Lonchura striata: one gene and its partner. The protein of the gene in region 2 purifies or fractionates together with the protein of the main gene of each other region. This does not show direct contact. Links are inferred from orthologs where the notes say so. Each region holds a gene or a part of one and is shown on either strand. Other genes may lie near its edges.

Evidence for each region. Proteins that work in one complex are often made in the same cells at the same time.
Region 1: the proteins of USP33 (region 2) and ROBO1 purify together in Homo sapiens (affinity purification with western blotting; 5 studies listed by BioGRID and IntAct, with this or other methods). This does not show direct contact. The link is inferred for Lonchura striata from reciprocal best matches to the Homo sapiens genes USP33 and ROBO1.

Annotation. Positions count from the first base shown.
Region 1 is NC_134604.1:10,877,335-10,881,084, forward strand, and holds the start of ROBO1 (roundabout homolog 1), read right to left. Parts: upstream 2,539-3,750; 5' UTR 2,099-2,538; coding exon 1,990-2,098; intron 1-1,989. UniProt on the Homo sapiens protein: Receptor for SLIT1 and SLIT2 that mediates cellular responses to molecular guidance cues in cellular migration, including axonal navigation at the ventral midline of the neural tube and projection of axons to different regions during neuronal development.
Region 2 is NC_134611.1:15,816,520-15,820,269, forward strand, and holds the start of USP33 (ubiquitin carboxyl-terminal hydrolase 33), read right to left. Parts: upstream 2,250-3,750; 5' UTR 2,087-2,249; intron 1-2,086. Other genes in the region: MIGA1 (mitoguardin 1), read left to right, coding at 3,409-3,531. UniProt on the Homo sapiens protein: Deubiquitinating enzyme involved in various processes such as centrosome duplication, cellular migration and beta-2 adrenergic receptor/ADRB2 recycling.

The DNA.
Region 1 (3,750 bases), on a different chromosome or scaffold from region 2:
CTGTAAAATCTTCTTGTTCTTGGTGAGAGTGCTTCTAAAATCTAAATAAAAGAAACGTTAAAGTCTGCTCTAAACATCTCTTAATTTCAAGGAGAGCTGATTAAGATCCATAACTTTTAACACATTCAACAACTGATCCCTCTAAGCAATCAAGTAATATAATATTAAGATGCTATAAAATGAATTTACAGCTTATTTTTCCTTTAACCAAATATAGCAATCTGCTAATGTGCTGGCTTGAGAGCACCCTGTCCTGAGAGAAGAAAGCAAGTAATATGAATCCATAAGGTCTAATAGCTAATACAGGTGACATTAAATAAACATTGTAGATGCAAAACAATTTTCAAACAGGTGGTAGTCTTAAACTTCTGAATATTTGTATGATTTACTTATCATGGCTAAATGACATCCCAAGATGATTAACTTTATTAATGTTTTCGTGAGACATTAATGCCTATATCACCATCTATTTCAATTCTTCACAGGAAAAAAAGCAGACTGAATACTCAGAATCAGAAATTTTTAAATACCTGCAAGTCAATTAACCAAAAATGAATGTACAGTAGTTTTACTCTTGAATGTGGCTTTCTTCATAACAGATATACAGATACTTATTTTAGAAGGTATTTTTACTGAGAAAGAAACATACTGTGAAAAAATTTCGTTCAGCATATGTCAGTTGTGCCTCAGTTTCCACAATGAGCAAAATAAAAGGCTCTTTTAGTCATAACAAGTTCATATGTTCAAATATTTATAAGCTGTGGGTTGCTATTTTTGTGCATCCCTTACGCACACATTTATTCCCTGCTATAGTTTGGGCAGTGTGAGCTTTAGATGTAAAGTACCTGTGAGTGGGCAGGGCAGTCCTCACTTCCACTGAGCCCATCACCTCCTTCCTTAATGCTACTGATATGGGCACTGGGAGAAGCAGCAAATTTATTGATATTAGGTTCATGCTTTAGGGAAAAAAAAAGTATTGCTCAAGCTGCAGATGAGCTTCCAGATAAGAGGACTGACAAAGTAACACCTATTCCAAGAATAACAACAGCCAACCCTCCAAGTTCTGGTTATTTTAGGGATTTTCATCACATATATTTTCCAAGCAACAATATCATATTTAGCTGAATTCAACAAAAGCCCTTTATTCCATTTTGAATATTCTTTCTCTCTTTTAGTATTGTAAGTGTTTCTAAAAAGGAAAAAAAAAAAAAGCAAAAAACCACAACAAAACCTCAGCAAATATTTACAGGCATAATGCTAATATTATGCTGCCCATCATGGGCATTCTTGTTTATAAATAGCTGGACAGGAAAAAGGAGCAATGTCAGCGAGAATTGAGTTGCCCTTTAAATGGAAATAATCATCTGGTTATTTCAGTCAAGCAGCTGTGTATGCAGTAGGAAGTCTCACTCACAAATATTATGATGACTCATCTACTTTCCTTTTCTAATAGTAAATGCTCTTTTCTCTTTATAAGTGCAGCACTGCTAAACCCTTCACAAGCTGCAATTCTACCTTATATCCCCTTACCTAAATCTGCAGATTTTAAGACACAGCTATGCATGTATAGCTATAAAATTCACTATTATAATCACTGGGGTTACAAGGTTCTTTACGCAAACTGCAGACCTGTGAGATTTACTGCCTTTATTAAAGTTAACATCTGAAATAGCGTGCAAAATGCTAAGAATATAAAGAAAAAAGGTGCAGCCTGGACTTCTCCCAAGCCCTGGGAAGAGAGGAGTTAATCAGCACAGGCAGTCCGGAGAGCTTGCACACAGGACTGTACTGCAGATGTGTGGAGCTCACGGAAGGTGTGGCCCGTGCCTTCCATATGCATATTTAAATACTTAAATTACATGGCCTTAAGGCTGCTATTAGAGAACAACCTCACAGAGAGGAAGAATTACACAGTGAAATGAGGCCTAACACATTTCTTCAAACAGAGAGCTGAGAAGAAGAAGAGAAGGAAAAGCCCGGGTTACTCACGATTCTTTTCACCTCTCCACCTTGACCCCGCTTTTATTCTAGGTGCGACGTCCACGGCAGCAGTTATGTCTATTAGCCCAAGCAGCAGCAGCAGTGACAGCACAGCCATGCCAGGTAACAAAAAAAAAATAAATCACCTCTACCTGGAGTACTGCTAGAGATGAATTGGAGAAGACTTTCCTTAGTAATGAACAATTGGAGCTGACAGCACTTACTCAGCAGAGGCAGAGGGAGATGTAAAATATTATTCCTGCTAGAAATGTTTATTAAAAATTTCCATTGCATCGCTTATTTCCTTGATCCAGGGAAAGCAAAAACCAGAAGAGTTGTAAAGGCTTCCCCTAACTAGGAGCCTCTGGCACTCAGACGCAGGAGGAGATGCAGTGGCAGATTTCTGTGGTCCCTCAGAAGCCACCGGCTCCTCACCTGCCTCTGCCACCTCTCAGCCCTTCCCAGTGTTTATCAACATTCCCCACAGCACCCTAGCAGGGGACACAGCCAGGCTGAAAAAGGAGTTTTTTCTCCCTCGCTTCCATATTTCACTGCAGTTTCACAGAGCTGATGACACGGAACATTTTAATGTTGACACTCAAATCTCATTACGTTTATCAATGGGCAGAAAAAACACAGTTTTTTAAGCTTTTTCCCCCTTACCCACAGAGGGGGGGAAAGGGCAAAAAATAACAAACATATCCAAGATGAAAGATAAATGCTTAAAAAAGAAACTTTTTTTTTTTTTTAAAAAAAGCTATGCAGTAACTCTGCCTCTTATTCAGCACAAGTATCTTCTATTTCTAGGGAAAATAACACAAACAATACCACCTCCCACACAGGTTTCTGTCAGCAGATGCTGCATAAATGGAGCAGTACATCTGAGAAACTGTGTAGAGGATCTGTGTTACCTAACAAACCTTCCCCCTGCAGCCCAGCAGCCTCGGGGCACCCAGTGCAAGCAGATTCCAGTGCTCCCAGCAGAGCTGCTGGAAGGAATTGAACCCCAGATTCATCAGTACTGGGGAGCCAGATCATGAGCATCCCCAGGGTCATTGAAACAGTCTCAAGGAAGAGCTGGAGCACAGCTACCCCTGCCTACCCCTTTCACCACAATTATGAAATCATTCCACATGAGTTGTGAAGACCCAGAAAAGCTTTATGGTGAGAGCTGGAAATCACTATAATAAGACCAGAGGGCTTTTCATTAGTAGTGACAGAGGTCTTTAGTCTGCACAAAGTCTACATTTATATCCAGTAAAAGTAACTGCAAAATTTCTAGTCCTTTAGCACCATAAGCATCAGCTTTGAGAATACTTAAAATTGTTACTTATATGACAGTAAAACTTACTTTCTTCACAAAACAGCTATGAAATAGTATTCTCCAAGCTGATCTTCTGCCTCACACATTGCATGCTGCTTGTCGTGTATGGATGTAACCAAGCAGCAGAATTGAGAGCCTTTTTTTAAAATAAAGTACTGGAGTAATTTCTAGATACAACTTCAATTACCAAGAAAGAGACAAAGTAATTTATTTCCATCTTAATAATGCATCTATTAATTTATAATGTTCACAACCACCGCTCTTTATGAAATTTGAGCTCAAAATTATTAGTGCAAGTGAAATACTGCACAAGAACCAGTTAGAAGGTGACCAGCTGAAGACACTAATTTCTAAACCTTCTCAAGTCAGTGATAGGAACTTTCCAAAAGAGGGCCTGAAGAATTTTCTCACCTAGAGCTGGTAGAACACAGATGATCACAAGAAAG
Region 2 (3,750 bases):
GAACTAATTAATACTCCAAAGTAGGACTTATCAACACAATTTTGCTTTAAGCATGCACAGACTCACACTACAAAGAAAAAATTCTCTTCAAGTCCAGTCTTGGAAGGTTTTTTTGTGTTCCTGACTTGTCTTTTCACCCTCCAAGAAAACCAAAATTGAACCATCAGAGAAATGTGGACCATGATTCAATGCATCATGACCATCAACCTATCTATTATTCAGTAGAATTCCACAGCATCACAGACTTGTGTGATGCCTAGCATGGAAAACCTATCACACCCACAGAAAACTCCCAGCAAACACTATTAAATTCAACTGATCTCAAAAATTACCTTTGGGTCATGTAAGGAACCCACTATTTCCTAAAGAAACTAAACAGAATTTGAATGCTTTCAAATTTTTTTTGCATTAATTATTTCATCTGCCTAGTTATAGTAGTTAACATTTCAACAGATATTCAAATAAACAATTGTATATTTTATGTATTCCACTATTCCATATTCTAAATATGGAGTCATTTTAGCAGATCATTTTACAGAACTCAGTAAGGGAATGCTGACAGAAGATTTTAAGAATAACAGAATTATTCTGAAGACATCAATTACATGAAGCAGCCATTGTGTCTTCATTACAGGCTTTTATTATTTTGTCAGTACAGCTTTGAATAACAGCATCTCAAACCAGTAATCTGTAAGTTCAGGCTTCTTCGTTGCACTCACATTTATTTTACCAGTGATACAGTGGAACAATTTCATTTAACATTTATTTATATCTTCTAGCAACAAAGCAAGAGTGACACAGGGTGCAACTTTGTACCTGAACACTTAATTACTCAGAATACTAAGGAGGTCTGGAAGTTCAGTAATTACTAACCATATTACCATTCTCCACACTTCAGAAAAAACCCACCAGCATTCACTCAAAGCTATAAAAGCCTACTGAAGTGATAGCCTTAGGCATATTCAGATTGTTAAGATACATATTTTTAATCACTTTTCTAAATATCAATATATGTTGTTTTAATTAAACTTTACAGAAATTCCTTCAATTACTTTTGTACATGAATGATGTTTTTACCAAACTTAGGCTTTTTAGTGTGTCAAATTAAGGTTCATCTTTCCTATTTCTTGACCTAGATTCCTTTATATTCCATTAATCAATAAGTAGTTTTGAATTTTATCTCCCATCCATCTGTATTTTTACCCTTTTTAATCTATCCACAATAAACAAATACATCCCATTTCTTGAAAAAATGACACCACCAATCCCAGCTCTGGTAGAGAACTTACTTAATATCTATTTAGCATAAAACCTAGTATTTTCCCACTAGATGACAAAAGTGTGCTCAGTAACCTGGTCAAAGGTACCTGGTCTTTCTCCTCAGGCACCAAGAGCTACCCACTCAAGCAAGACACAAACTGATAAGTCACTTCCATTACATTCTTTTTCTGCCCTTAAGTACTGTTCCCACGGAGAAAAGACATTTAAAAATAACCTGGAGTTGAGGGTATATCCTCTTACAAGGTTAGACAGTTTTCATTTTATATTGGCTTTCAGGGCACACAGGCCACTCTTTCGTTTCCTTCTTCCACCACGCTAAATCCTAACTATGAAACCCATTAGCTAACCTCTATATTTCTAAGAGGATTTTCCCAACTCGGGCTTTGCCTAAGCGCAGGAGAAGCCTACAGTGATTTTCCACTAGGTGATCCCCGGGACTTTTCCCCCGGGCTGTTGCAGCCGATGATCCACCGGCGCGGGGAGCTCGGGCAGCGAGCAGGGCCATTTATCGGGACACTGCCGCGTTTGGGCACCGCGCGGTACCCACGGCACCGCTGCCGCACAGCCGCAACTTCAGCCGGGACCGCGGAGCTCTGCGGCCGCTCCCGGCCCCGCCGCCCCGGACCGGCACCGCCGAGCTCCGGCCCCCGCCCCGCGCTGCGGGACCGCGGCGGCTCCCGAGGCCGCCGCCATCCGCACCGCCGCCCTGGGCTGCGGGACCAGCCAGACACACGGCCCGCCGCGCTCCCGGCCCCCGCCACACCGAACCCTCCGACGCTGCCCAAGCGGGCCCTTCCTCTCTTACCGGAGCAGCCGGGAAGATGCGCCGCGCACGGATCCCGGAGCTCAGCCGGGCTGCGACCAGCCCTGCGTCTCGCCCTTGCCTGAGGGGACAGCGGCGCTGCAGCGGGGCTGCCGTGGCGGAGCCGGGCGCGCCCGGGCCGCGGCTCTCGCCGGTGCCGCCCCGCACACGCGCGGCCGGGCGGGCGCGGCTGCCGCGACGCCGCCGCGGGACGCTCCCCGCACAAAGATGGCGGCGCCGAGAGCCTCAGCCGCTCATGGGAGCGCTGCCCCGCACAAAGATGGCGGCGCCAGGCGCGCACCCCGCCCCTGCCCGGCCGCACGCAGCGGAGCTGCCCGCAGCAAACATGGCGGGCGCGGAGTCACAACGCCGCCGGTCTCCCTCACGTGGTAGCGGCTCCTCCCGGCCGACGGCGGCCGCTTCTCCCTCTGCCGGAAGCGGATCCCGCCGGTCTCCGGGCAGCGCCGGGGCCGGAGCAGAGCGAGCTGCCCGCGCCCCGGTGCTCGGCGGGCAGGTGGGTAACTGGACGCGGCGGTTGTAGCGACCCAGCCCGGGCCCGGGGAGCGGCGCGCCCGTTTTGACCCGGGCGGCTGCAGGGAAGGGGCTGAGGGGCGCGCGGGGCGCCCGGTTGTGCCCGCTGCCCTCGATCCTGCCCGCTCGCCATGCCGGGGCTGCCCGGGCTGGAGAGGGCTCGGCCGGGCTGGGCGGAGGTGGCTTCTGCCCCGAGGCCTCCATCACCTCCCAGTGCCCCGGTTGCGGTCCCGGAGTCGCGGTTCGGAGGCTTCGCCCGGTGTTCAGCATCGGGGAGTGAGAGCGGTGCGCCTGCATCGGGGAGATTACGTCAGGCTGTAGGGGTTGTTTCTCGCGGAGTGTCTGCAAAATAAACGAAGCGCTGAATGAGATAAACTTTTTTTGGCTGCTCGCCAATCTTTTAATTCTTGCAGCAGTGGTGGTTTCAGAGGCAGGGTTGTTGCCGTGCGTGACTTAGAGGCGATAGTACGGGAGCGGCCGGTAGTCAAAGCAGACCGAGCCCTCCTTAGTCCTGGTGGTTGTTCAGCTGCACATCTGCACACAGCAGTCTGACACTCCGGGCCTAAGCTGAACCAGCAGATTTGCTGTCTCCACTTTAAGTCTTGCCTCTACTCAAGACCATCAATCAAACAGGTCATGTACCAGTGATTGAAGAGATTCGAGCTTGAAGAAGAAAAATGTTCTGGGCTTCTGTTGCATAGTTATGCATCCTTTGCATCCTCATAGTGTGTATCCCTCTTTTGACAGAGTCTTCCAGAGACCATCTGTGATTGTTTTCAAGATAGTTTTGCTTAATGAGGTATGGGAGAGAAGGAGCCATGTCAGAAGAAGCTGTTACTGAGACACGATTTTCTCTGAAGACAGTAGCTCTACGGGTGTTCAATCTTCCCCTTTCCTGGTATTATTCTCTTAACCAGGTAATAAATACATTATCTAAATATTATTTATATTATTTATTTGTTTAATCTTCTCCTTTCCTGGTATTATTCTTCTAACCTGGTAATAAATACATTATCTAAATATTACTTGTAATATTTATTAATATTATAACTTTTGTTATACATTTAAAAGTTAATTGCAGTGTTGTATGTGCTGTTGTAACTGAATTAAATTTGTACAGAATACATTGGGGTTTA